Astyanax mexicanus: one gene and its partners. The protein of the gene in region 2 interacts with the protein of the main gene of each other region in a pairwise test. Links are inferred from orthologs where the notes say so. Each region holds a gene or a part of one and is shown on either strand. Other genes may lie near its edges.

Evidence for each region.
Region 1: the proteins of gopc (region 2) and rhoq interact in a two-hybrid assay, tested with the Homo sapiens proteins (2 studies listed by BioGRID). The link is inferred for Astyanax mexicanus from reciprocal best matches to the Homo sapiens genes GOPC and RHOQ.
Region 3: the proteins of gopc (region 2) and fosl2 interact in a two-hybrid assay, tested with the Homo sapiens proteins (2 studies listed by BioGRID and IntAct). The two-hybrid records come from large-scale screens. The link is inferred for Astyanax mexicanus from reciprocal best matches to the Homo sapiens genes GOPC and FOSL2.
Region 4: the proteins of gopc (region 2) and hck interact in binary tests that used the Homo sapiens proteins (3 or more experiments, as listed by UniProt). The two-hybrid records come from large-scale screens. The link is inferred for Astyanax mexicanus from reciprocal best matches to the Homo sapiens genes GOPC and HCK.

What each region holds. Positions count from the first base shown.
Region 1 is NC_064422.1:39,689,208-39,696,813, forward strand, and holds the start of rhoq (rho-related GTP-binding protein RhoQ), read right to left. Parts: upstream 3,016-7,606; 5' UTR 2,712-3,015; coding exon 2,570-2,711; intron 1-2,569. UniProt on the Homo sapiens protein: Plasma membrane-associated small GTPase which cycles between an active GTP-bound and an inactive GDP-bound state. In active state binds to a variety of effector proteins to regulate cellular responses. Involved in epithelial cell polarization processes.
Region 2 is NC_064408.1:80,413,200-80,420,484, reverse strand, and holds the start of gopc (Golgi-associated PDZ and coiled-coil motif-containing protein), read left to right. Parts: upstream 1-4,284; 5' UTR 4,285-4,529; coding exon 4,530-4,784; intron 4,785-7,285.
Region 3 is NC_064421.1:9,779,651-9,787,322, reverse strand, and holds the start of fosl2 (fos-related antigen 2), read left to right. Parts: upstream 1-4,649; 5' UTR 4,650-5,383; coding exon 5,384-5,479; intron 5,480-7,672.
Region 4 is NC_064420.1:31,466,395-31,473,655, reverse strand, and holds the start of hck (tyrosine-protein kinase HCK), read left to right. Parts: upstream 1-4,250; 5' UTR 4,251-4,474; intron 4,475-7,261. UniProt on the Homo sapiens protein: Non-receptor tyrosine-protein kinase found in hematopoietic cells that transmits signals from cell surface receptors and plays an important role in the regulation of innate immune responses, including neutrophil, monocyte, macrophage and mast cell functions, phagocytosis, cell survival and proliferation, cell adhesion and migration.

The DNA of each region.
Region 1 (7,606 bases), on a different chromosome or scaffold from region 2:
TATATTCATGCACTAAATATTATATACTTTTTTGTTCTGAGGTAGAATTTTATTATAATATATTACATTATATATGGTAAGTATTTACAGCAGTATTTAATGCTGTAGCTGTCTGTTACAGATCTAAAACGGCAGCATTGCACACACCTTAAAAAAACTCAAATCTGTCCCAAAATTCAACCACTTCAACAACTACAACTCAACTACTACCACAGTAACCTTTACAGCAACCACATCTGGCCACCTCTGGCCATTATTACAAGCAGTGTGTGAGCCAATGTTAAATTTCCAGATGTGACCCAATAACAAGCCACATTAATGTTGCTATCAGGGAAGACGAAATAACGGCAAGCTGGCACTGTTGTGTGTGTGGTTTCTGCACTAAAAAAGTGTGTGGGGGGAGGGGTGTTGGTGGTGGAAGATGGTAACACACACCAACTGCCTTCCTTCCTTCCTTCCTTCCATGAAGCCAACAGGTGGTTTTGATCACAGGGGCAACAGCAGACAAAGCCTGAGTGCCACTTCAGACCAGTTTCTTAAGCATTTTTAACCATATACATGACAAAAGATCAGTTCTCTGCTTTACAAACCCAACTGAAGACCTACTTTTGCTGGTAGATGGTTCTGGAGGTCTAGGTGGTTAAGAAGCTGGTAATCCAGGCAAAACCATACTTTATACTGATAAGACAATGTCAAGCTTGGTCATACTTGGTCATTCTTGGTCATACTTGATTGAGGACCAGCTAAACCATCAACTCAAACAAAAACACCTCAAAATAGTCCTTGATCTTTGTCTAGGTGGTCACCCAGGAAAAAAAACATATTTTATATTGTAAAGCTAGCTGGTTAACCAGTTCACAAGCATATGGTTTGTTTAATGTGGGGGTTTCGGTCATGCTGGTTAACCAGCTTGGTCTTGCTACTCAGCCAGCTTGGTCATATTGTTGATGATGGGTCAACTAGCATGGTCAACCTTGGTCATAGTGGCTTAAATACCAACAGAAAAAGGAGATTAAAACACTGTTTCATGTATTGTTGGTCAACCAGCATGGTACACAGTTGGCCATACTGACTTGAAGACCAGTTAAACTACGAAACGTGAACAAAAACATACTTTATACTGATAAACTAGCTGTTCAAACAACTTATGACCAGCTTGTTCATGTTGGGTCAACTAGTTTGGTCTTATTGGTCATGCTTGGTCTAGGTTACTGAAAAGCTGTTCATCCAGGCAAAAAACATACTTTATAACTAGCTGTTCAACCAGCTTGGTCATACTTGGACATACTGGCTTGATGACCAGTTAACCCATGAAACACAAACCAAAAACATGCTAAATTAGCTGGTTAATCAGCTCTTGACCAACATATCTTATGTTTCATTTGGTTTTGGTAATGCTGCTTGAATAGCTTGGTCTTGTTAAAGTTGGGTCACCCAGTCTGGTGAGGCTTGGTAAGACTTGGCTTGGTCATACTGTCTTGAAGACCAGCTAAACAATCAAACTCAAACAAAAACCGACCCAATTTCGAATCCTGGTCTAGGCTACTGAAGAGCTGGTCATCCAGGCAAAAACATACTTTATAACTAGCTGTTTAACCAGCTTGGTCATACTTGGTCATTCTGGTTTGAAGACCAGTTAACCCATCAAACTAAGTTACTGGCAAGCATAGTATATATTTTATTTGGTTTTGCTAATACTTGTTGAATAGCTTGGTCTTGTTCATATTGGGTCAACCAGCTTGGTGAGGCTTGGTAAGACTTGGCCATACTGGGTGGAAGACCAGCTTAACCATCAAACTCAAACAAAAACAGACCCAATCTTTGATCTCGGTCTAGGTTACTGAAAAGCTGGACATCCAGGCAAAAAATTTATACTTTATAACTAGCTGTTCAACCAGCTTGGCTTGAAGACCAGTTAACCCATAAAACTCAAACAAAAACACTCTAAAGTAGCTGGTTAATCAGCTCTTGGCCAGCATATTTTATGTTTCATTTGGTTTTGGTATGGCTGGTTGAATAGCTTGGTCTTGTTCATGTTGGGTCAACCGGCATGGTGAAGATTGGTCATACTGGCTTAAAGACCAGGTAACCAATCAAACTCAAACAAAAACACCCTAAAGTAGCTGGTTAATCAGCTCTTGACCAGTATAGTATATATTTAATTTGGTTTTGGTAATGCTGCTTGAATAAACCAACTTGGTCGTATTGATCACCTTGGTCATACTGGCTTGAAGACTAGCTAAACCATCAAAACCCAAACAAAAAAACAAACCCAATCTCTGATCTTAGTCTTGGCTACTTAAGAGCTGGTCATCCAGGCAAAAACATACTTTACACTGATAAACTAGCTGGCTCAACATGTTGGCTGAACCTGTTTGGTCCTATTGGTCATGTTGTCTCAACCAGCATGGTCAAGATTGGTCATACTGGCTTGAAGACCTAAACACACCCAATGCTGATCCAAATCTAAGCTTGTAAACCAGCCACCTTGACCAAGCCATGCCCATTGTCTCAGCAGGGTCCTCAACCCCTGACCCACCAGAGCCGGTGTATAAGTGTGTTTATTTACCTGCGTAATGGTCGAAGACCGTGGGCACGTACTCCTCAGGGAAGGCGTCGTTGGCATAGCTCATCAACAGGCAAGTTTTCCCCACGGCGCCGTCGCCGACCACCACGCACTTCAACATGATCGTGCCGGTCCCGTTTGCCATGACACACGAGAAATCATCATCATCTTCATCATCATCTTCATCCTCACCATCAGCATCATCATCATCATCATCCTCCTCTTCATCCTCCTCCTCCACTGCCTCAGCTTCTTTCTCCAGGCGTCACCAGCGCCCCGCTCCGTCTGCTGCTACTGGCAGAGAGAGAAAAGTGAAGGCTGGACCACCATCTCTCCTCCCAGCTCCCCAAATCTGCCGCGCGGGGGTCCCTGAAGCCCCCCTCTCCACTGCCCCACTTTCCCCTACTTTCTCCGCGCGCCTCACCTCCTTTGACTCTCTCTAGCCTGCACGAGCTCAGGACTCCCGACAGGGGCGGGGTCACAGCTCCGGAGCAAGGGACCGAGGATAAAGTGTGAGAACATAGCTAATAGTGCATCTCAAAAAATTAGAATATCATTGGAAAATTACTTTATTTCAGTAATTGAGTTCAAAATGCGAAACTTATATATTATATAGATGCGTTTATTTATTTTATTGTTGATGGTTATAGCTTACATCTAATGAAAACCCAAAAATCAGTGTCTCACAAAATTAGAATATTACATAAAGACCAATTGGTCTGTGGGCTGTGTGCCAATTCCTGCTGGACAATGAAATCAGCATCTCCATAACAGTCAAACCATCACTGATTGTAGAAACTTCACACTAGACCTCAAGCAGTTTGGACTGTGTGTCTCTCCACTCTTCCCCCAGACTCTGATCCCTTGATTTACAAATAAAATGTAAAATTTACTGATGATCAGTGATGGTTTAATGGAGAGTCATGTCATCTGCTGGTGTTGATCCACTGTGTTTTATTATCAAGTCCAAAGTCAGTGCAGTGTTGGTGTTTTCCTACAAAATCTTACAGCACTTCATGCTTCCCTCTGCTACTGACAACTTTTATGGAGGTGTGAATTTCATTTTCCAGCAGGATTTGGCACACTGCCCACGCTGCCAAAAGTACCAATTGGCCTTATGTAATATTCATTTTTTCGGAGACACTTATTTTTGGGTTTTCATTGGCTGAAAACCATAATCATGAACAATAAAAGAAATAAACGATTAAAATAGATCACTCTGTGTGTAATACATCTATTTAATATATGAGTTTCACATTTTCAACGGAACATTTTCAATTGAAAAGTAACTTTTCAATGTTTCTCTATTTGTTTGAGATGCACTAGTATGTGTGGACACTGATCACAGCCATAACATTAAAAACAAAGTAAGTAAGTAACTGGTAATGTGAAAACATAAATCAAATAATAATTGATTGCCTGATGATGTTATGATGGTATATGTCAAAGAATAGATGTAGATATAGATATATTAGACATAATGTTAGTATAATTCTTATTAGTAGTAGTATTACTACTATCCTACTAAGCTTAGGTTATGACCAGCATGGCAGGGTATGTTTTCATATAAGTTTGATGGTTTATATGCTCCCCAGATAGCAAAAGAACATTGACTCAACATCGTTTTTCCATCTCTAATGCACATTGATTTTACACTGATTCAAAACTGATTCAACAATATGGTATGTGTATATATATGTATTGTATGTATTCAACTACACTTACATTAAAAATGTATACAGGAACTGCCAATTATTTATTTAAAAAAACTGAAAAAATATATTCACACTAAAGTCATTAAAACATGAAGAATAAAATATGGAATTTAGATTTGAAGTACCTCTTGCTTAGATGACAGAGGGGATATACCTGCATTTCACGTTTTGTGGAATTTGCAGATGATCCCTAACACCTTGACGGCAGTCCAATCAGCTGGAAGCGGGTGGGCTGGTCAGGGATGCGCTGCTGTATCACTTTTGACAGCTACTGCAGGAGTCACGTGACCAAACAATTACCTCATACCTTCTGCGTGTGCGCGTGTGTGCGTACGCGAGTGTATGTGTGTGTGTGTGTGTGTGTGTGTGTGAGAAAGAGAGGGAGCGTGAGCGCGCGCGCGCAGGCGTACAAGACTCTGCTGCAGACGCGCCCATAAGGTGGGTTTAGAGATGAACGTCGAGGAGACTGAAGCTCCTCAATCAGGCAAAACACTACCTTTATCCTCCTGCAGAGATCTTTATTACAGTGCAGGAAGCTGCATTTAGAGAGGCTTGCTAAAGCTACGTGTTGCACACTGTTCACTCACACGCACAGTTATACACCGCACTGGGTTTCTTTATGGATGATTTTTTTCATTCATCACACAGTAGTGTGTATAGACCTTCTCGTTTAATGTTATTATATATATTTTATATTTTTCCTTTAGTAAATGAATAGTGAAGTAGTCCAGACTATGAAGGAACACATAAGAAATCATGTAGTAACTTAAAAACACTCTGTGAAGCATTTAGGTGGCTCTAGATCTCATGAACTTATCCTGTGCAAGAGAGGGAACTCTTGCTATTCCTTTTCTGGGGCGCTCCTGATGAGAGCCGGTTTCATCATAATGTTTTTGATGTTTTTTTTTTTTACCACTTCACTTGAGGATACTTTTTTAAGTTCTTGAAATATTTCGTATTTGACTGACCTTCATTTACTTGAGTAGTTGAGTAGCTCTTGTCATAATCTGGATTAGAACATTACTCAAATATTCACTATTCACTGTATACCTGTAACTCTACCTCTTCACTACTTTACAACAACTGATGCTCTCAAACACATTAAGAGACCTGAAAGCCTGAATTCCAGGTGACTGTTGTGTATAAAACTGACTGAGAAAATCCAGCCAAGATGTGCAAAGCTGTCGTCTAAGCAAGAGGTGCTACTTTAAAGAATCTAAAATATAACAGACTTTTTGGTTTGTTTAACGCTTTCTAATCATTTTTTTTTTTACTAAATAAATCCATATGTTTTTCTTCATAGTTAAGAATACTTTAGTGTTAATCTACAATGCAGAAAATGTTAAAACAATGAAAAAACATTCCTCCTCTTTAACTGGTTAAAAATGGAGCTGAATGAGAATTACAAATGCAAAGAAAAACAGTGATAATGAATGATTATAATCATATTTATAAAACTCATAAAACACAAAAATCATATTTTTAGTTTTTGTTATTGTTCATGGTGAGCAAACATGTTCTGTTTCAAAGATATATTTAGATAATCTCCTATTATTTTAATGTATGTGGTATTTTGCCAAGACAGGGTGGATAGTTTTAGCTTTAACTCTTTAAGGTATACAAGGTATACAAAGGATAATATAAGAAATATTAAATGAAATAATAGTAGTAATGGCTGAACATGCAGCAGTACTTGTTTCATTAGTTTCTTAAAGTAAATCAGTATTAAAGTTGTGATGTCACTGGTATCAAACGTCACTGGTTGCTTTCTTAAAGAGGCGGGACTAAATTCACCAATGTAAATATTTGACCAAATGTAATAAAAGAAATCCATAAATAAAGAGGCGGGGCTATTTCCTTTATGATGAGAGGGAGGAAAAGGAATTCTCTGACATATTTTTGAATAGTGTTGTGCTATTAATAGAAAAAATAGCTAAATAAAATATGGTCTATATAAATTTCTAAATATTTATTTAAAAATCATTCTAGTTTAAACATTTTGTCACATTCTTGTCTCTGTGCTTTTTTTTTTTTGCCCTCCTGTTTGTTGATTTACCTTTCAAAGTACATGGCTCTCTCTGTGTTCTCGTTGTCTCCACCCATGCCTTCAGTGCTCCCGCCTGTGTTCATTTGTAGCTCCGCCCACTCATTACCTGTCCCTGGGTGTTTCCCGTTTTCTGTTCCCTCCATGTGTAGTTAAGCCCCTGTGTTTTTATTGTTAGTTTGTTGGTTCTTGTACGTTTTTGTTTTCTTGTCGGTTAGGTTGATGTTCCTTGTCTCAGGTTATTGCTTGTTTTTGTTGGTTAGTTCTGTTTGTTTTTTGTTCATTTCTTTGTTTATTTGATTTTGATTTATAATATTTGATATTATATACTGTTATATAATGATTATTTATGTGTAATTGCGTCCACTCCATGCATCCCTTCCTGCTGCAGCCACTGCAACCCTTATTAATATGTTGTAAACATGTTGTATACATTTGTGATTAATTAAACGGCAAATAAGAAAGCATGTAAGTAAACTTATACTTTTTACACATTTCTTTAAGCTCAGCTGGAGATAAAGCTGTTCCTCAGATGAAGATGCTCAGCAGTGCAGGGATTTGGTTCCAGCTGGGCTGAGCTGGCAGTGCTCGGCGTGCTGCAGCAGCATTACGCCGGGGTTGTGCCCTCTCTGCTGGATTTTATGAGAATTTAAATGATGACTGTGTCCAGATTAAGATATTGGCAGAAGTCTTGGTAGTGTTAGGCTTATCTGATTTCAATAAGCAGCTGTTTGGGGATTAAAAAGAGGCTTTGGAGCTGTGGAGGGAGGCAGAATCAGCTGACTGGTATTGTATATTTGTGGATCTGTACATATTTATTTATTAATCTGCTTTAGGCACAGATTAGGCCTAAAATACAGTAAGAAGCCAGTGTGACTCCGGTGTAAATTTTATTAGGTTGCCTAAAACCTAAAGGGGCATTGTTATGTAACAAATGCATTTCTGATGACTTGCAATAGATCAGAAGGATGACCCTCTTATGAATGAATTTAGCTTAATTGTATTTAATTCAAAATAAAAGCCAAGGCTTTTCTTAATACCTAATTTATTTAATACCTAAAGGGTTAAGAATAAAACAAGTCTCTTAGATGATATTATGTCTCCCTCTTGTGGCAGTCTGAAGTAATTCATAATAACAGCATCTCAAAAAAATAAAATAAAAGAATATCATAAAAAATGCTTTATTTTTAGTTAATCAGTAGAAAATGTAAAACTCATCTTCTATATAAATGTTATGGCAGTAGCTCCAGTATCTGTGTCATTCAAGATTTAGAAAGCAGA
Region 2 (7,285 bases):
AAACCTAATTCAATAATAAATAATGAGAGATATAGGGGCCATTTCACAGACATGCATTAAGTCTAGTCATAGACTACAGTATATTTATCTTTTAATTCCTGTTTTGCCAGGAGGTAATAAAGTTAATAAAGTAATAAAGTTAATAAAGTGATCGGTATGTGCAGATGGTGAGTACAGTTATTAAAAAGATAGAAATGATAGGGTTAGATAAATGCACAGAAGAGCACAGGCTCATTTGATGATTCTCTGTTTATCTGTTAGTTGAGATCCAAAACAGCTCACATAACTATTTTAATAAATTGAATTTGTAAATACTGTCAAACGTTCCAACATCCAGTGCAAAGCCTTCACAGAAATGTAATGGTTGTTTCTGCAAAATTGGGGTCTGGGAACTCTCCTTATCAACACTGTTTATTACAAACATTTAAACATTAAGTGCACACCATTTATATGGGTGAGCAGATCTGACACCTCCCACCAAAAAAAAAAACTCATTTACTCTTATCAGACCACAAGGACAGAACAGTATAAACATCAGGTCAAGGTGAAATGCCCCTTTATTGCCACCAAGGACATGGGGGGTGTGGGGTACTCCTAAAATGTGTTTCTCTGGAATTGGTTTCACTCACCAAATGGGTATTGCTTCACTATACACATATATTTTTGTTTGTATGTTTGTCTGTTTTGTGTTGTAATGCAGTATGCCCTCAATCCAAGCAAAATTTCTCCTTGGGAGATAAATAAAGAAACTATGACTATGACTATTTGTGGCCACAATTTAAAGTATGTTTAAGTTAAGTAAGCTAAAGTAAAAACTAAATGATGCAGTGGTATAAAGCCATTTTTATCTGTTAACCATGGGGTGGATCAATCAAGTTTTGGGCTTGTGATGCAGCCAGTGTAACAGGGAGCATTTGACTGGTAATATAATTTGACTGGGAAAATGGATATAATTAACAATTGAAATTAAAATCTGGAATTAATCACACCTTCTGTAAAAACAAAAGCTGTTGAGAAAAAGAGAATTACTTTTACAACATGATTCTAAACACATCTCAAAATCCACAAAGGCTCTCACAGCACTTAAAATTCAACAAACATCTGTAAACAGGTGTCAGAAAAGCAGTTCATGTAAGACAGCCCCTGAATCTCCCAAAACTAGAAGCTTTTAACAACAAGGAAGAATGAGCAAACACCCATCAATGAAGAACTGAAAATCTCTTACCTGCTACAAATATTGTTTACTGTGATGACTTCTTATATCTGCTATAAGAAGGATACTGTCTGCACAGAAAAATCTTAAAATCATGAAAATCTTTGCAGTACAAAACTGTATTTTGTTTTTTATTATTAATTTTGGTTAACTTTTCAAAGGAAGTCTCATTGTTTGTTATAAATGTATTTGTTTAGTCTTTTTTTGGAATATTCTGTGTATCTTACAAAAATAACATAGGTAAAATATTTTAATAAATGTGCAATTTTTCACTTCACAGCTTTTGTAAAGCAATTAATCGTTCACGTACTGTTCACCTATGAGAAGATCAAAAATCTGCGGTGGATAAACCTACATATAATTGTATATGTACACAAATATTAAATATTAATACTTTTTTGCTTAAATGCTTTAAAGCCTAAGATGATGGTTCTGGTTTTAAGTACATATCTAAAACTAGTCTTTACTTATTATTTAATAAATGCAGTGCCATAATTAAGAATCCTTCAGTAGGTAAATCTAAAGTATTACTAAGGAATACAATCTTCAGGGTCTTCAGAATTGTCCTACTATCTGCTCTTTGAATCCATGTTTTTTGTATTGTGTTTTTTTTTTTGGAATGATCTTCTTTTAGATTTGAAGAGAAGGTTAGATAGTAAAGCTATATACAATTTAATGTAATACAATAAAGCTGTATTGTATGTTTTTAATGACCCTTTATTTTACTTTAAAACCCAACTCATTACCTAAATGGGCTGCTGCATAAGGGGCCCTCATGGAGACCGAGTACAATAAAAAGAGTGCTTTATAATGGGTTACCCTGATGGGGCCCATTATACAGTGCACATAATGGCCCCAGGTGTCCTCAGCTCTATTTGCCCATTAATGGCCCAACCTGTGCCCATATTTTACCCATGTAAAACCCACTTTGGTTCTAAATTAAAGGCCCATAAAAACCCCACATATGCTACCCATTAGGGTTCCACACTGTACCCATCTTAAACCCGTCATTAACCCATATGCTGCTCAAGGGGCCCGCATAGAGACTAAGGACAAAATGTGTTGGGTCCTAAATGGTTAAACTTGTTGGGGCCCATCATTTAGCCCATCATAAACCCACATGGGGCCCATAAAATTAAACATTTTCGAAAAATAAGAAATTTCAAAAATCTATTCATACTTTGAAGCTTTTCAGTTTTAGCTTTTTTTTGTTGGTTTTGTTGTTTGTTTGCTTTTTTATTTTATTATATTTTTATTTTTTATGTTGTTGGCATACCTGTCAAGTCTCCCGTTTTGGCCGGGAAACTACCGTATTTTACTCCTCTTTCCCGCCGTCCTCCCGTATTAGTATTTTTCCGTAAATTTCCCGTATTATATTAAAATTAAAAAATATATATTATTGAGGAGACAGGGCACTGACCGCTCTTTGTCTCTTAACCAATCGTGGAGCCGGTTCAAGGAGAAAGTCCCGCCTTTCAGGAGAAACAGCCAATCAGCTTGCAAAGGAGGGTCAGTGTGGGGAAGCCCCCCGTCGCTGTGAGTTCAGGCAGCTAGTCGGAGCTGCTGATGTTAAAACAGATCTGGATATACAGCGATTTTTCTTAAAAAAATGTAACGGTAGGCTAATCATGTAAACTGTGATGAGATTTTTCTGATAGCTGCTTAAAAAGACTCGTCTCCGAAATAAAACACACAGATTAAACATTTTAAAATTAAAAAAAAAATTACAGCTTGTGACCGAAATGAACTGAACTGATCAGGGGTGGAGTGATCAAAAGGAAGAAGTATTAATTAAAAATGATTAATTGTGTAGGCCACTTAGGACTAATTTTTACTGATGGAATATATCTGGTCCATGTCCTTTTAGTAAAAGCTCATAATACTATTTTTAGGTCACCTACAGTCATTTTGCAGAATTTGTGCCCCCTTTGTTAAATTTTAAATCTATTAAATAAATAAAAAAAATATAATATAAAAGAGTGCATGTATGGCAAAAAGACATGAAATCTTAATCTTAATCTTAATATCTTGAAAATGATTTTTAATTTGGCTGTATTAAAAGAATGATATATGTAGGAATGTCCACAACATTTCAGATTCTGATAATCTAATTGTAGTGTGTAAGTGGTTCACTTGTGGTTATTTTAGATTTTTTGTAAACCTGTCTTTAAAATGTAAGAGATACTGAACCTTCGTTGGGCTGGTGGGACGACTTTAAGCGGACAGAGGAAAATATCCCTTATTTTTCTAAAACTTGACAGGTATGGTTGTTGGATATATGAATCTTGAAATTAGCCTATTGCTGTTTCTGTTTAACTTTGTTGTATTGTATTATGCCGACCTTAGACATAACGATTTTCAAGCAATTTCACTGTTGCAGAAAAATTTCCAGAGTCAGGATTGTGTCTTATTGTGCAGTGTTATTTTTGATACAAACAAGTTTAATAAATACACATTTTGCAAGAATGATGTTGTTTATTGCATTAATCTAAAACAAAGGCAAATGTATATCAGTGAAACTGTGATTGATTGCTTTACAAGGTTGTATGCTTATAAGAAGAGTTGAACACAAAATGTATTCTATTAAAAATATCAAGAAATAAGTGTGGCCGAAAAATAAACTGTTGATGTGAGTCTCTGATAAATCACAGTATTGATTTACACATTATTTTTAACTTAATATGTAACATGTCTTGTATGTAACCTCCACCAGAAGCTTGATGGGAAATATTCTCAGAAAGAATCTAGCTGCAGTCTTACAGTTAGTGATCCTCAGTCTTAGCAAAATATGTTAGTAAAAAGTCTGTGACTTGTCTTTAGACGTGAGGGAGTGTCAGACCTTAGTATAAGAAAAGTATTTTTAGAGTCTTTTTTTAAGTCGTGTAGTGTATGAGCAGCATTTAAAGTACAAAAGCTCAATATTAATAATAAAAAAGCTGGTAAAAATATTGTGTGAGATCAGCGGACTGAGTGAAGTGTTCCTGAAACAGATCGATCGATCATATCGGTGATCTGTTGCTCTCGCTCTCTCTCTCTGGAGGCCTAATCGTGTGGCAGACCAGTGTAATCGATCCCTGCTGAAAACGGACATCCTGCTGTGTTTAGAGGAGGAGGATCAGCGGTATTTACTCCTCCGCTGAAGTTCTTCCTCCTTCTCCTCTGACTGTGATAGACTGAGCTTAAGGGACTCAGAGAGCCGGGCTGTACAGACTGAGGGCTGCGGGGTCGCTGAACCGAGGCTCTGCAGTGCTGCTGGTGGTGTTGTTGTGGGGGTGCTCGGGTATCCGCTCGGTGTTAGACGGTCTACAGGGCGGGGATGTCGGCGGGCGCCGCGCAGGGAGCCGCGCTCGGAGCTCCGGCCTCGGGCATGTCGATGTTCCGCTGGCTGGAGGTTCTGGAGAAGGAGTTCGACAAGGCGTTCGTGGACGTGGATCTGCTGCTGGGCGAGATCGACCCGGACCAGGCCGACATCACCTATGAAGGCCGCCAGAAGATGACCAGCCTCAGCTCCTGCTTCGCGCAGCTCTGCCACAAAGCGCAGACCGTCTTCCAGCTCAACCACAAACTGGAGGTAGCTAGCGTTATTATTAAAACACAACACACCACCGGGCCTACACCACCACTCCACTGTAGCTTTAACACTCACACAGACTGTGAAATATTCATTAAACTGTTCAGAGTCACAGGAAGCTAGCTAGCTATCCTAGCTAACCCACCACACAGCAGCAGTGTGTGAGGAAACTACTGTTCTGTGGAACAGTAGTGGAAGTTTGGGAACTCTCGCCAAATTACTTTACAAATTACACACTTTATTCATTTCTTATTGGGAATTAATAAGCACAGAGTATGTAGGTTATACTGTATTGTCACCAAATTCTAATGTACATCTGTTTCCAGAATTCATCTTGACCTTAGCAGTTCTCCAAAATTTTTCAATGTCATAAAAATGCTGTAAATTATTTCTTCCAATTAAGAATTCTTGTGTATATAAAAATTCCTAACTATTAAAATAGCAACTAATAATGAGTGAATATATTCGTATAAATACTGGATTAAGCTTCTTATTTCTGTCTACAAAACATTTGGTCATCTCTAAACAAATGACACTTTATATATATATATATATCAATGTATTTTATTTTAATAAATAGAAAGCACAGAATGTGTGGCTAATACTGCCAATATTTTCTACAAATGTACAACTGCTTTTTTATGCCGAAATATATTATATGCAAATCAGAATAACCATTTTGGCCTGGGCAAAGGTTTATGCACTTTACCCGGTAAAAGCTTTGTTACAACCCCTTTGACAGAAAATACAGTTCACAAGCTCTGTTTGTTGCAGATAAGTGTTTTTATATCTAATATCAGTTTTGTCTTTATACTGAGGGTGTTTTAACTGTAGCAATTCAGTGTTTTGTTTTTTCCAGATCACATTTTGACTACCACAGTTCACCTGAACTGCCATTTCTTACCATTCCTTACTGTAGGATGCTTGGAAGTCTTCTTGTAGATACTGGGTGGTGCTTTTCTATTTCATGGACCCAATCAATACTGCTCCAAGTTTAGCACTGAGATTGTTTCTTGATCTTCATGCAGGCATTTATAATTCAGCAGCCAATGCCCTGTAGTTCAGTTCACGTTAGGCTTTAGTTACATTTTGTTGTGTGCCAATATATTTTCTTGTTCTTTTTTATAAATAATTATAAAAAGAGTCTAACCTTAATCCTAGTCCTCTAGCAGCTGACAAAAATCAAATGCTGCAGTTCAATTAGAATCTCATCCTAGCCATGTTGGCAATTAACATGGTTTTGTGCTGATTTTGCTGCCTATGATTAATTGATCTGTGAATTATACAATAAATAGTACCATCAGATTCTACACAATGTCAGTTTTATTACCGCTCATTAAAATAGTTTGCTGAAAGTTATTTCTGATATTTAACGTTCTGCAATTGCCCTTTTACATTTTTTAAGTGACATTCAGTGCAGTTCATCATAGGTGTGAAAAGATATCATAATCTTGTATTGAAATAGGTACTGCTATTATCAGTCTAATATATCTCTAAAAATGGCATTTAAAAGGAAAGGTATTACAGTTTAACAATAAACGTGATGCACCTGCCCTTCCTGCTGAGCTGAGCCTGTTTTGCGTAAGGGGGTTTGCATTCCTGACATTTGAAATCCTGATCCATTGTAAAAGAGAGATGCTTACTCATCTTAAATGTGAGTAAAGCTCAGACAGAGCTGGAGAACATCAGAACTCAATAGTGTTGGAGTGTACCAGCCAATGCTCTCTTTAGGTTTATTATTTTAGTACAAAAGAGATACATGTTTAGAGAAATAGACCTGCAGAACCTGCTCAGCCAGGTCTGATCAGTTTATTGTGTCCTCTGTCTATAGTGTGTGTGTGTGTTTGTAAATGATAAGAAGACAAAACTATGCAAAGCACCTTTTGGAGTCAACACTACTATTTTCCTCTTGAGGCTTTTCCATTGGATTGTCATTAGCTGGTAATTACTGTCTTTAGGTTGATTAAAAAAAAAAATGTGTATATTTTGCAATTTATATGAAAAAGTGCAGTCCTGTATTTCTAACATGATATCACCAGATATCCTTTAGCTTTCCTCCATGAAGTTGGTTGGAAATAAATATTTTTGGTAATTTTTGAAATATTGGCCATTGTTAGTAGGGCTTTTATTGTGTACATCTACTCTCAAACAAATTAAGTTTTATTGCATGTTGTGATCATACCAAATGATGTGAATTAAAGAATTCATAAAAAGTCAGCTTATACTTGTCATGCAAAAATACATTAAAACATAAAATAAAATAATTTTAAAAACGATTAATTAAAATAATTAAATGAAAACCAATGTAAAAATTAAATAAAATGGAAATTAATTTAGATTTATTGTGATTTATAAAGGCCAGTCTTTAATCAGGTGACACTATTGGTTCACTGGTATGGTTTTGGTGTCACATAAATTGTTATTGTGGACACATTGAAGTTCTGGATTTATAAGATCTATTTAAGTTGCTACACTGTGAACTCATGCTTTATTTAATGGTT
Region 3 (7,672 bases), on a different chromosome or scaffold from region 2:
GCCAAATGTCACGGGACATAAAACTGTTATCTTGTCCTATAGAACCTAAGAACACTGCACTGACCTGTGGGGTATGAGATATATGTGTTGGGTCTCCTGCATTGAATGTGGATCTGATTTTGGCTTGGATTTTGATAATAATTACAGCTTGTTAAAGCTTTTTGACCCCTTTTATACCTGCTCAATTCATGGAGCTAATATCTAATAATCACATGCATCTCCACTTAAAACTATGTGGGGTGCAGTAAATGTCCTGGTGCTTTAGTTGTAGTGGGGTTTTTAAATTGTTAAATTCATCTTGTAATGACGGAAGTGTTTACACTGCTGTAATGTGTCTCAACTACATCTCAAATCACCCATAAAGTGGATTTGAATGTGTTTAAATGCATTTTGGGTGTGTTTACACTTGTGACTTGCTCTTATCCAGATATAATCCAGATTCTCAGGTTGCATGAAGTGAGCAGGTTGCACTGAAGTGAGAGTGCTGAGCTGAATGAAGTGTGCTAGTGGGTGAGCGCTGTGGATTGCAGGCTGATCCAGCTGACCCTGATGCACCAGCACGCTCTGAGATTTAGAAGGGTTACGGTCAGCGTGACGACGGTGCAGTGGCTGATGACCGATGTTCGGGAGGGTGTGACGCCACCTGCAAGCTCATGCTTTTGTAATCGAAGGCACTAATGACAGAGGAATTAATGGATTATTAATTTGAGAGCTCTGTCAGGCTCAGTCTGTCTGACAGCTTTTCACTGTCATGTATTGTTTACTATGAGTTTCTATATACTAAATAATAGCTGTCAGAATTTAACTTTGGGAGGAAAAATGGTATTTTTACAGTCCTAAAAAATAATGTATTACAGAGGGTTCCATAGAAAAGATAATAGCTGGTTTCTGGTATTATAAACTGGTGGAAATGTAGATCATCCAGCTAAAAACATGCCTTATGTTGGTAAACTAGCTGCTTAACCAGCTCTTTTCCAGTGTAAAGTTTTTTGCGCTTGATTTTGATCATGCTTGGTCTTGCTGGCCATGTTGATAAACCAGTTTGGAACACATCACAGAAGCCATTACCATCCACAGTGGACAGCACAGTGTGTGGTAATGATCGTGACCGGTGTAATCTCGCTAGAATTGTCTGTGCAAGCAGAAATTCCATCCAGATTCAATGTAGTAGACCCCATACATATACCCCTCAGGTCAGTGCGAGCTCTTTAGCTTTAATGGGGCATGGCAAAAGTGATGGAACATAACACTAGCTCTGTCCCACGACATTTGGCATGTCAATATACAGGGGTTGGACAATGAAACTGAAACACCTGGTTTTAGACCACAATCATTTATTATCCTGACGAACAGTTCTGGTGGAAACAGGAGAGTTGAGGTGCACATTAAATTCTGCTGTGTTTTGTTCAGCCGTGGTTTTATGCTTTTTGGATACAATCCAGGTTAGCACCCCTTTCAGACAGCTTCCTCTTACAGGGTCCACAGTTAATCCTGTTGGATGTGGTTCATCCTTCTTGGTGGTGTGCTGACATTACCCTGGATACCGTGGCTCTTGAAACATCACAAAGACTTGCTGTCTTGGTCACAGATGCCTCAGCAAGACGTGCACCAACAATTTGTCCTCTTTTGAACTCTGGTATGTCACCCATAATGTTGTGTGCATTACAATATTTAGAGCAGAACTGTGCTCTTACTCTGCTAATTGACCCTTTACACTCTGCTCTTACTGGTGCAATGTGCAATTAATGAAGATTTTCCACCAGGCTGCTTCAATTTAGCCATGAACACTCCTACACTAAAATGACAGGTGTTTCAGTTTCATTGTCCTACCCCTGTATGTCATAAATGGTGAAATTTACTGAAATTAGAAAAATGCTGTTTTTTAATATGTACTTTTTGTTTTATTACAACATGGTGCAGCCCTAATAATGTACAGTTTTACTATATATTGCCATCACAATCATTATAAGCATCATAATTTCCCTCTTATCTCACGTGCATATATACTATTTATATAGCTTAAACAGGATTAAGCGACTGTTTTGGCCAACCTGACTGTTTTGGCCAATCTGGGCTCTCCATGCCAAACACCACAGACCCTCCTCCCTCTAATACAATTTGCTTGTTCCACCGGCGACATCTATCTGCCGAGTGAGCGGTCCTGTGGTGAGTGTGTTTCTGCTTCCCACTGTCCAGAGCCTCCTGTTTCCAATCTCACTGCACTGAGAAGCTGAAGTGTGATTACAGCACATTACATCCAGCCGAAGAACGGCTTGCAAAAAAATAAACTTCTGAATGTCATACATTTTCTCTCACATAACCACACACATACATGCCAGTAAACTCATGCATGAGTGAGAGATAGTGAGATAGAAAGAGAGAGTGAGATCGTGAATGATTCTGAGATCATAAATGTGTGACAAAGAGGAACAGAGCAAAACACTGAATTCAAGTGAAATGTGAGAGAAAGATAGTGAATGCATGGGAAATAGAGAAGCACAGCAAGACAGTAAATGCATGTGAGGTTGAGTGTGTTTTTGAGAAGGTGATATTGCTAGAGAGAGGAGGCAGATTGAGATAGTGAATGCATGTTTAAGAGAGAGGAAGAGGCAGAGCAACTAACCGTGAGAGTGAAAGTTAATGCATGAGACAGAGAGAGAAAGTGAGAGGGAGAGAGACAAGATAGTGCATGATAGTGAATTTGTGTGTGTATAAGAGGCTGAGAGAGAGGTAGATTGAGATAGTGAATGTATATGAGAGTGTGTGTGTTTGATAGATAGAAGAGGCAGAGTGAGAGTGGATGCATGAGAGAGAGAAAGACAGGAAGAGCAACAGCAATACTGTAAATGCGTGCAAGAGAGAGAAAGAGAGAGTGAGTAAGTAAAAAATAGCCGCGAAAGACATCGAATGCAGGTGAGGGGACTAAGAAAGAGGTAGAGAAAGGGGGGTAGAGCGAGATAGTAAATGCATGTTTACGTGACAAAGAGTGAGATAAAGATAATGAATACATGACAATATAGTGCAAGATAGTGAATTTGTGTGCATAAGTGTGTATGAGACTGAAGGAAAGGTAAATCGAGATAGCAAATGTATGTGAGAGTGTGTGTGTGTGTGTGTTTGATAGAGATATAAATAGGGATAGAAGAGGCAGAGTGAGAGAGTGAATGCATGAGAGAGAAAGAAAGGAAGAGCAACAGCAATACAGTGAATGTGTGTGTGAGAGAGAGAGAGAAAGAGGAAGAAGCAGAGAAAAATAGTGAATTCAGGTGAAAGGGTGAGAGAGAAATAGAGAAAGAGGGGCAGAGCGAGATAGTGAATGCACGTGTATATGTGTAAGAGAGAGAGAGAGATGCAGAGCAAGATAGTGAATACTAAAAAGCGATAGGGGAAAGACAAGATAGTGAATGTGTGTATGAGAGACAGAGAGAGGGTTAGATCGATAGAGTGAATGCATGTGAGAGTGTGTGGGTGTGATAAAGATATAAAGATTGAGAGAAGAGGCAGAATGAGATAGATCTATCTATCTAGCGAATGCATGTGCAAGAGACGGAGCAATATAGTGAATGCACGTGAGAATGAGTGTGTTTGATAGAGATGTAAAGAGAGAAGAGTCCGAGTAAAAGTGTATGCATGTGAGAGAGAGAGAGAGAGAGAGAGAGAGAGAGAGAGAGAGAGAGAGAGAAGCAGAAAAATACCGCATGTGAGAAGGGGGATTCGGTGAGGGGAAAGAGTGAGATAGTGAGTGTGTGAATGCATGTAGTAAAGAAATAGGTGTAGTGAATGTGTGTGTGTGTATGAGAGATAGGGGAAGAGCGATAGAGAGATAGTGCGTGAATGCATGAACGAGAGAAATAGCAATATAGTGAATGCATGTGAGAGTGAGAGATATGGAGGTGTATTCAATGAGTGTGTGATTGAGAGAGGAAGAGCGATAGAGAGATAGTGAGTGAATGCATGAGCGAGAGACGGAGCATAATAGTGAATGCATGTGAGAGTGAGAGATATATTAAAGACAGAAAGGTGTAATGAATGTATCTGTGTGTATGAGAGAGAAAGAGATAGAGAGAGAGAGAGAGAGAGAGAGAGAGAGAGATACGGAGTGGATGCATGAGCGAGAGACGGAGCATAATAGTGAATGCGTGTGAGTTTGTGAGAGAAAGAGAGGGCGCGCGCGGAAAAAGATAGAGCTAATGAATGAGAGATAGGAGGATAGTGAGAGAAAGTGTCTGAGAGTGTGTGTTCCGTGTGTTCTTGCTCTCGGTCTGTGTGTGTGCGTGCTTGTGAGTGTGTGTGTGTGTGTGTGTGTGTGTATGTGTGAGGGATTCCCTCCACCGGGACCTGTAGGAAACCCACGCGCGTGCGCGCGCTGACGCAACTGCCCATTTTAGGAAACGAACGTCAGTGGCGGGCGATACCAACTGAGGCTTAGGGCTGGGGGGGAGCGGGGTCAGCTAAACTAGCCTAAAACTCACCGGGACCACCCGCATCTCACTTTAGGACCGCCCAGAGGCTTGAATTACACCTTCTACCGCATTGTTTTACACAGAAAACTTCCCACAGACTAACCCTGAGTTGTTCCTCTGTGGCTCCTCCCCCTGCGCTCTGTGGTGCGGCCGGTGTGCGCAGGTTGGCGTTGATAAGCAGATGCGAGCGCGCGGTAGTGCCATTGGAGTGAGTCATCGCGCGGAAAGGGTGGTCGCGGGAGCGAGCAGGAGGACCGGAGCGAGGGAGCGCGCATCTACTGAGTGGAAGGAGGCAGCACTGCCGCTCCTGTGAGTCACATCTACAAAAAAAACTGGAGAAAAACAGGAGGAGAACTGCGCTGAGTTTCATTTACTGAAAGTAGGTGAAATAAGAGACTTCTTACAACTTGTGTTAGTCACTCTAGCTTGGCTTACAGCGCTGGAAACATCTTTACTTTTTTTTTATTTCATTTTTATTTTTTCTACAAAAACCTGTTTACTGGACTATATGAACTCTTTCTTGCACGCCTGCTGCTCTCTTTTATTTTTATTTTATTTTTCTCTCTATTATAACAGTATAACAAAAAATAATAATAATACAGAAAGAAAACTGTACATCCGGACATTTAACCCTCTCTAAGCCTGATTTTTCTTCTGATTTTGTTCATATTAGGCTATTATTTCTCACAACACACACATATATATATATAGAGAGAGAAATATATAATTATATAGTATATTAGCTCACTCCAAGGAAACCCCAGCTGTGGGTTGTCTTTAAGAACCAAAAAAAACAACATTTTTTTTCTCCTTTTCGGCTTTGGAAGTGCAAAGAAGACACTCTTCTGACTGAAAACGTGTGGGAGAACTCTACAAACCTGTGAATTTTTTTCTTTCTGTATTTTTTCTTTTGCTGGATCATGTACCAGGAGTACTCCGGGAGCAGCAGCAGCGCCTCCCCGGGCCAGCAGGACTCCTACCCCAACGGGAGCCCCCTCTCAGCCTCCAGCTACCAGGTACGGTCCCCCACCTTCAGCTCCTTCACCACCATATTCACCGGTATAATCACCGGGCCTCAGCACACCTGTAGACACCGGGCTGCTGCTATATAGTCCTATAGCCCATTGGGCTGCTTCTCGCAGTCACTTTAAAGATATACAGTATATAGATATACCATTATACACAAGATACCAATATACACAATAAATCATTATTATCATCACATTTTTGGCTAGTTTAGTTTTCTGTGCATTTTAAATCAAATTATATTGTATAAACCAAAATAATAAAAAAACATATTGTAAGATCTAGCACATATTAATTTATATCCACTAATATTCACTAATTATGGTGAAAAGTGACTCTATAAAAATAGTAACTGTACTGTAGAACCTCGAAAAACACACATTTCCAGTCAATTTCCAGTAAGCTGGCTTTGCAAAAAAAAGTTATAAGTAAAAGTTTTGATTCAATAAAAGTAATAAAATCTCTTATCTTATTATTTTGCAATTTTATAAGACTTTATAAGCCATATAGATATGGATGCTCACAGTCTCTTTAATAGTCTACGAGTGTGCTGAACATAGATTATAATGTGTATTATTTATTGACTTATGATTGACTCAGCTGACTCATTTATATATATATATATATATATATATATATATATATATATATATATATATATATATATATATATTTATAGATGGATATGAAGAAATATTATACATAATATATATATAACATGTATAATCAACAGGGATCAGCTCTGCAAATAAAAGTGAAATCCCAATGATAATAAATAAATCTCAACACCAAAGTTTCAGATGACGTTATAATGACTTTTGTTCATTATGATTTTTCATTTTATTCATTAATAAACAATCCCCCGTGTTTATCTCATTATTACAGTGTTTATTGGTCTCCATATGGACTCAGATTAACACTGTTGGGTGTTAATTCGCCACTGTAGGTGTTAACAGTGGGGGCTCTGCTGTGTACAACATAGTGGTCTTTTAATAGATATAATAAGCCTACATATGTAATATATATATATATATATATATATATATATATATATATATATATATATATATATATATGCACACAGACAGGAATTGAGCAATTGAGCATGGTGTTAAATGAATTTGCGAGCTGATAATTCTGTGTGTGTGTGTGTGTGGGTGGTGGGCGTAAATGTGCGAGCAGCCCACCGAGACTGCGCACACACTGACCGCAGGATGCTCTCCACTTCCACTGACACAATACACTCAATTCTGCTTTCAGCTCATACCAGATGATTTGCAGCACTGAGGTGACATCTGCTGAATGATGAACCAGAGTTTAGCGTTAAAATTTAAGTGTTAAAGTGATTTAGAATAGTGTAATAGTGTAAAATAGAAGATTCTTAGGTTTGTGAGTTTGTGTATTTAAATGTATAGCTGGAATAGTGTATACTTACATTAATTACCCATGTAAAAAGTCAGAATTAGTTTTTTTATTTGTGCGGTATGAGTATTATGAAGATTACAACACCACAGGCTTGGTTGTATTGCGTCATTATTTCTGGGAAGATGTTACACTTGTTTTCCAGTGTAAAATAAAAACAGTTGTGTGGGAATATGTTGAGAAATTAACTCACAAGAATGTCCTTATTGTATAAATAAGGGTATACATGTCGATATATAGATATTTATAGATATATAAAGTGCTACACACTTTATTGCTTCAGTATCACACTCAAACACCTTTGTTTTGGTGCTTACATACAAAAGATACTCCAGTCCTAGAGATTATAAGGTATATTTACTGTCCTAATAGATATTTACTCCAATCTTCCATACATAAACTGCATTTTTAATAAATTAAACATTTGTATATCACAGTCCAACAAAATATTGCAATATCAATCTGTTTTCCAATACCATTAATTCAAAAGCTTCCACTGACACTCTTGATTTGGCCATATAGGCAACCCAAAAACCTGCTAAAACTGTGTTCATATATTAACGTCACAACAAAAGACTAATTATAAAATTACATTAAATAAATATTAATATTTCATATTAAAAGGCTGTGCAGCGATAGAAAAAAAGGCTCATTAAAAATGTCCTAAAACAAATGCTCCAAGTCAAAACTACTGAAAATCTATTAAAAAGTTTAGAAACGCTCCAAACACGAGAGTTAAAAACGCACCCGTTTCGTTTCAC
Region 4 (7,261 bases), on a different chromosome or scaffold from region 2:
AACTCTTTTTTTCCAAGTTTACAAAACATGTTCATGAGGTACTTTGCACAAAATCAATCTCACAAATAGATCTCACCAGCTATTTTCTTACCAGTTTCAGTCCCTTTCAGAATGAGCCGTTTAAGGGCTCTGTCACTTTTATGTAAATAAGCTGTTGCTGGCCAAACCGTGTTTACGCTAAAAATTTACTACACCTTAGTGTTAGCTTGAGCTAAATGAAAAAACAGTGTACTAAGGTGACTTCACGTAAAAAATAGCCTAGCCATCACTTATTAATGCATGGGAAATTAGATAAATAAGTCATGTGGATGACTTAATAAGCTATGGGAATGAGATAATATGGTCATTGCAACAATTTATTAAAGTTTGAGAACAAATAATTAAATTGTGCAGACGACTTAATAAGGCATGGGAACGAGACAGTAAAGTTTGAGACAACGTATTAAAGTGAAGGAGCAAGATGCTGAAGTGGTGGGGACAATTTATATGGCCAGGTCTTAATTTTCGTGTTCCCACACTTTAATAAGTTGTGGCCACACAGTGGGATCTCATTACCATTCCAAAATAAGTTATCAATTAAGTTACAACTTAATTGTCTCATTCCCATGTCTTAATAAGTCGTGACCGCACATTAGGATCTCGTCCCCACACCTAAATTGGCTCTTTCCCAAGCCTTACCAAGTCTTGGTCATGCATTAGAATCTCATACCCACGCCTTAATAAGTCATCCCCACAGCTTAATTATTTCATTTCAATGCCTTAATAAGTCATGACCGCACATTAGGATCACGTCCCCACACCTTAATTGTCTCCTTCCCAAGACTTACTAGGTCTTGGCCATGCATTAAAGTCTCATACCCACGGCTTAATAAGTGTTCCCCACAGCTTAATTATTTAGTTCCCACACCTTAATAAGTCGTGGCCACACATTAGGATCTCGTCCTCACACCCTAATAAGTTGTGGCAACACGTTTCTTTTTTTTTTTTTACATGACGTCACTGTAGTGGCTACGAAGTAAGAAGAGTAAGTGCTCCTGAAGAACTCAGTGTTTAGGTTCTTGAAGGGCTTACTGGACAAGGGAAAGATTGTCCAAAATGTAAATCCTAATTGTAGATGTGTCCTGTCCCCTGCAAATTGTCTACATGTTTTGGAAATTGCCCAAACCTTACAGATTTCTGGAATTGTATTTTTAGTACACTCTACATTTTAAGGAACTCCTTGATTAAACCAGACCCTTTTTTGCAATATTTGGGGTTTCCTCATACACTTTGACTCAGTATACTAAAATAAATGATGATTGCCTTCACTACTAATTTTGCGTATATAGAAATCCCCTGAAACCCTGAAGCTCTCATCTTTTTGGACTGAAAGTTTCCTAAACTGTTTAAGATTAGAAAAAATATCAATTACACTTTTTTTATGTTTTAACTTCTTATCCTATGCAAACTACAAGTGCAATTATATTCTAAATGTCTAGTATGTTAAAAAGTAAAGAAAAACAAGAACAAAAATATTTTTGCATTGACTTTCACTGAATGGTTTTCCATCTTCTGTAAATTTGTATTTTTATTTAAATGAAGAGACCACTTCAGTTTCTGAATCAGTTTCTTTGATTTTGCTATTTATAGGTTTATGTTTGAGTAAAATGAACATTGTTGTTTCATTGTATAAACTATGGACAACATTTCTCCCAAATTCCAAATAAAAATATTGTCATTGTCATATTCATAGTTTTGTAGAATTTATAAATCAATATTTGGTGGAATAACCCTGTTTTTTAATCACAGTTTTCATGCATCTTGGCATGTTCTCCTCCATCAGTCTTACACACTGCTTTTGGAGAACTTTACGCGACTCCTGGTGCAAAAATTCAAGCAGTTCAGCTTGGTTTGATGTCTTGTGATCATCCATCTTTCTCTTGAGTATATTACAGATGTTTTTAATTTGTTAAAATTAATTAATTTTTAATTTTTAAGGAGTCTCTTATTTTTCCAGAGCTGTATTTACAGTGTTAGTGTGCGATTGCAAGAAAATCCCTTCTGGTTCAGTGCTGATACGTAGCACTTTTACGATACGTCTGTTTCAAACCATGAGTGTAAATACAACTTGCACAAGCTAAACCAATGGCCTAAATCTTGACCCAGTTTTTCTCAACGCGTATGAAGACAGCGCTGTTATGAGAAGTTATGTAGTTTTAAGGCCTGTGGAAGCCAGTTTCTGCACATTAATTGCTTGGCTAACTATTTATCGACACTCTGGTGTCCAACTTCCTCTTTATCTGTCAGTAATATTTGCATAGAGGTGCTTTTGTGAGTGTGGAGAGATCAAATACTACCTAACTAGTGTGTAAACGTGTAGAAGCTTACAACTGGAGAGACCTCTCCGGCTGCTGTGACCTCTCGGTGTGTGTCAGTGCGTGGGTGTGTATGAGCATAACCGTGAAAGAGAGAGAGAGAGAGAGAGAGAGAGAGAGAGAGAGCATGATTCCAATTCTCCCTAATCATTTTTTCACTCTATCTCTTCATTTAGCAGTGGACAGATGGGGGATTTAATCACAGAGAAGTCTTATAACCAGCCCCTATTATTCTTTCTCTACTATGATTCTCTCTCTCTCTCTTTCTCTCTCTCTCTCTTTCTGTGAAGGAAGTTGGTGTTTAATCCTGGCTTTTGATAAGGGATTAGAGGATCACTGCCTATGTGTCCCCATGTGACTGAAATACTCACTACAACTGTGTGTGTCAGTGTGTGTGTATGTCCATTAGCTGTTGATAAAATTGTATTGTTGCAGAAGCTAAACAAATTTGTACAAATATATATATTAATATAACTTTGTCACTACTTCTACTACCACTACTATTGCTACTACCAGTACTGCCACCATTATTACTACTACTACTTCTACTACTACTACTACTACTATTATCAGTACTACCACTGCTACTACTACTTTTACTACCACTAGTACTACTACAACCAGTACTACCACTACTACTACTATACTCCTGTTACTATTACCACTGCTTCTACTATTATTATTTAAAGTAAGTAGATTATTAAAACCGATGATGATTATTTAATCAGAATTATGTTAATGAACAGAGTTATATAGGCCTATTATTTGAGAAAACTCTTTATTAAGAATGGAACTCTAAAGTGTAATGCAAACAAGTGGAGCAGCTGGTCAGTGCTACATGATTATAACAAATACAGTGTGATCTGTTACTTTGCTATATTGTGGTTATCAAACCATAGCTTTATATAAAACAAAAACTGGCATAACAAATGTAGACCTAAATCACAGACCATTTTCTTGAGCCTGTTTCAACAGGACAAAAGAAACGTGATGGGAAATCTTGGGCCCCAGTTTGGGTCGGGGAAAAGAGGCTCGTGTTTGGATATATGTACAGGGGTTGGACAATGAAACTGAAACACCAGGTTTTAGACCAAAATAATGTATTGTCCCAACGGACAGTTCTGGTGGAAACAGGAGAGTTGAGGTGCACATTGAATTCTGCCGTGATTTGATCAGCTGTGGTTTTATGTTTTTTGGATACAATCCGGGTTAGCACCCGAACATCCCTTTCAGACAGCTTTCTCTTACAGCGTCCACAGTTAATCCTGTTGGATGTGGTTAGTCCTTCTTGGTGGTATGCTGACATTACCCTGGATACCGTGGATCTTGATACATCACAAAGACTTGCTGTCTTGTTCACCGATGCGCCAGCAAAACGTGCACCAACAAATTGTCCTCTTTTGAACTCTGGTATGTCACCCATAATGTTGTGTGCATTGCAATATTTTGAGCAAAACTGTGCTCTTACCCTGCTAATTGAACCTTCACACTCTGTGCAATTAATGAAGATTGGCCACCAGGCTGGTCCAATTTAGCCATGAAACCTCCCACACTAAAATGACAGGTGTTTCAGTTTCATTGTCCAACCCCTGTATGTATAAATATATATAAATTAGTACTAGTAGTAGTACTAGTAGTAGTAGAGCTAAAAATAATGTATCTATTCAATAACTATTTAACAATAAAAACAATAATAATAATACTATTTATTATTATTATTATTATTATTATTATTATTATTATATATATATATTTTTTTATCTATACCATATAACTTACCTATAATATATCACACACTAAAGACTGCTGTGCTCAGCAATGTGTGTGTGTGTGTGTGTGTGTGTGTGTGTAGAGGGGGGGGAAACAGGCGGATGTTCGTGACTCGGCGCAGATGATTGCCCTCGGCCTCAGTAGCCGCTTAACTTCCTCTTCAGCAGCTCGCTCTCACTGTACATCTTCTCACTTCCACTGCCCGGCTCAGCCCCACACACACAGAGCGATGGAGGAACCGGCTTAAACAGCAGCTTCTACACCTTTAAACCTCCAGAAAAGCCGCTTTACCACCACTGGAATTAAATTATATTACTACACTGCTGGAGCTCCACCTCACAACTCAACAGGTAACAACACGACATTCCTAAATTCTCCTGTTTCTGAGATTAAAAACAAACCGGCATATTTCACACAGTGAACCGCTTCCAGTTTAAACGGGCTTAATGTCACAGAAAGTGAATACCTTTATATAATATTACTTTAGGGTTTAAAACTAAAGGGTTTTATCATTTTAATTCAGTATTTTATTTGTAATTTAAATATATTTTGAGTTAATAACGTTTAAGTGGACGAAAAAATGTTTGGTAGCTAAGTTAACTAAGATATTTGACGCAGCAAAAGCGTTTAGTAATGAGTTTCCTCACTTTTTTGCGTAGGATTTTACGTAGGCTAATTGGGAAACACTTTAAACATAGTGTATTATTAGCGTGTAGTGAATATCCTCTGGTTTGTCCAACTAAAAACGAGTATCTCCATTTTTTTATTCTGTGTCAAAAAATCTTGATGAATGGACCAATATTTTTTTCTTCAAAATTATCTAAAATAAAGTATTTTTACATTGACTTCCACTGAAAGTTAAGAAGGTTTTATCTCTCTCCTGTAAAGTTCCTGTTTTGGAGATACATCTTTTTCAATAGACAGCTATGAAATGCACTAATATTTCTATTAGTGCTATTTCTATTTAATGGAACGTGAAAGACAAATTAAAATGAGAAAAGTCATAAAATAATCTTAAAATGATGTTTAAAAAATGTTCTACAGAATCCAAAAGGGTACACCACAATTTTCCCAGTGTTAAATAAACACTTATGTTATGTAAAATTTACAGTGTTTTACAAGTTACTGTCAAATTTGCTGTGTATAAAACCAAGCCTCAAATGTGTTCTCTTATATAGTGTTTCAAAGTCCCATAAACATCATCCTAAAGCTCTTTCCAGAAGTCGTCAGCTCTGTGTTCAGCCTAATCTTCCTGAAATGATGAGCGACTTTTGATAAGGACAGTCTGACTAAGGTGTTTTACATGTATAATGTGTTATTTGCACACTCCAGAGTGGCACTGGAGAACCCATCAGTAGGCAGAACATTTTCTATCCTTGGTTTAGAGAGTTTTAATGTTTTTAAAGGGTTTTGAGATGGTCATTGCTAGTCGTTTTTGGTTTAGATAATTAAAAAAAAAATACAATGCCCAAGTTGAGCGCCTGCTGGGATTTCAAGCGGAGACCTCGGAATCTGAATATACAGTACAGCATAACACATTCTATACTGTATCTATAACTATTCAATCTAGTCTAGGAAACACTGTGCTATACGGCTGTGGCACTCCCTAATCGGGGCACCAAACCACCTCATTTGGGCATAATTGCAGAGATGTCGCAAAAAAACGTTGGCATGCAAATTCCTCAATAAGGTCACGTATGGTGCCGCAGGCCTTGGATGCTACTGTCTACATGCTACATGTTTTCAACAGCTTCTGTATGAGGTTTTGAAACTAAATGATGAGAAATCTCTAAAGTTTGATGTCCAGATGGAATGGGATGAAAAAGTTTACATTTAGGCCAGTCACAACAGCCGTTTTTGTTTGGACGATAATATTGTTTGAAACATTACTGCAACAAATTATTATTGTCATCATTAGACATTAATTAAACTTTTACGCTAATAATATGATGAAAATGGGACACCAATATAATGCAATTACACCTTTTCAAAGAGCAACGCACTTAATTATTAAGATAGCATTGATCTTGCAAAACATTATGACCACTTCCTTGTTTCTACACCCATTACCAGTTTGTTCAGCTCTGCTGATCATATAGGAGCACTTTGTAGTTCTAGAACTACAAACTGTAGTAATTCTATTTCTCTGCATACCCTCTTCTTCTATGGTCAGGAAATCAGAGTACTTCCCCAGAACATGTGTTATTTGGGTAGGGGGTCATTCTCAGCACTGCTCTGACACTGGCAGGGTGGTGGTGTGTTAGTGTGTGTTGTGTTGGCATGAGCGGATCAAACGTGGCAGTGCTGCTGGAGTTTTTAAACTTCTCAATCTTACTGCTGGAATCAGAATAGTGCAACATTGTCATATGGACAGCATCATGTGACCCCCATCAACAGTCTATTTGCATGCCTCTGCATCATTAAATAAGCGTCTGAGTTTAGGAATATATCTGCATTGGTGGGCACCAAGGTCTGAAAATGAGGTGTGTTCAGGTAAATATCTGGCATGTTTCTGAAATACAGGTGCGCCATGACTGATTAAACCCTGACAACAGTCAACAGTCAGCCGTCCAATACTATTTTAGCCATGCAGAAGTGCTGTGCATGCCATGAAAGTTGTTAGCGTACACCACCACTCGTTACACACACACACAGACGTTCTGATTTTTTTTAATTTCATGTTATGCCCAAAGCAAGAATTCCAAAGACACACTGACACTGACTTCTTCCTTTGATTTTACATTTAAAAGGTGAGCAGCTACATTAGGTATGAGTGAGTAGTGAGTAGTTTAAAAACTCAAGCAGCAATGCTGTGTCTGATCCAGTTGTACCAGCACAACACACACACAAACACACCACCATCTTGCCAGTGTCACTGCAGTGCTGAGAAGGACCCACTACCCAAAATAAAACATGCTCTGTGAAAAACATAATGAACAATATCAAGGTCAAAAATGTGTATGCCCATGCCCATATATTTTTTTACCATAAGTTGAAAATGAAATGTAAAATTGTCATCCTGTGCTGTGAAAACACCACCTTTTAGGTGTAAAGGAAGATACTGATATGATAACAAGTCTGATTTTATTGGTTATTTTCTGACTGACCTCAAGATAAAAAGCAGATAAAAACAGCTG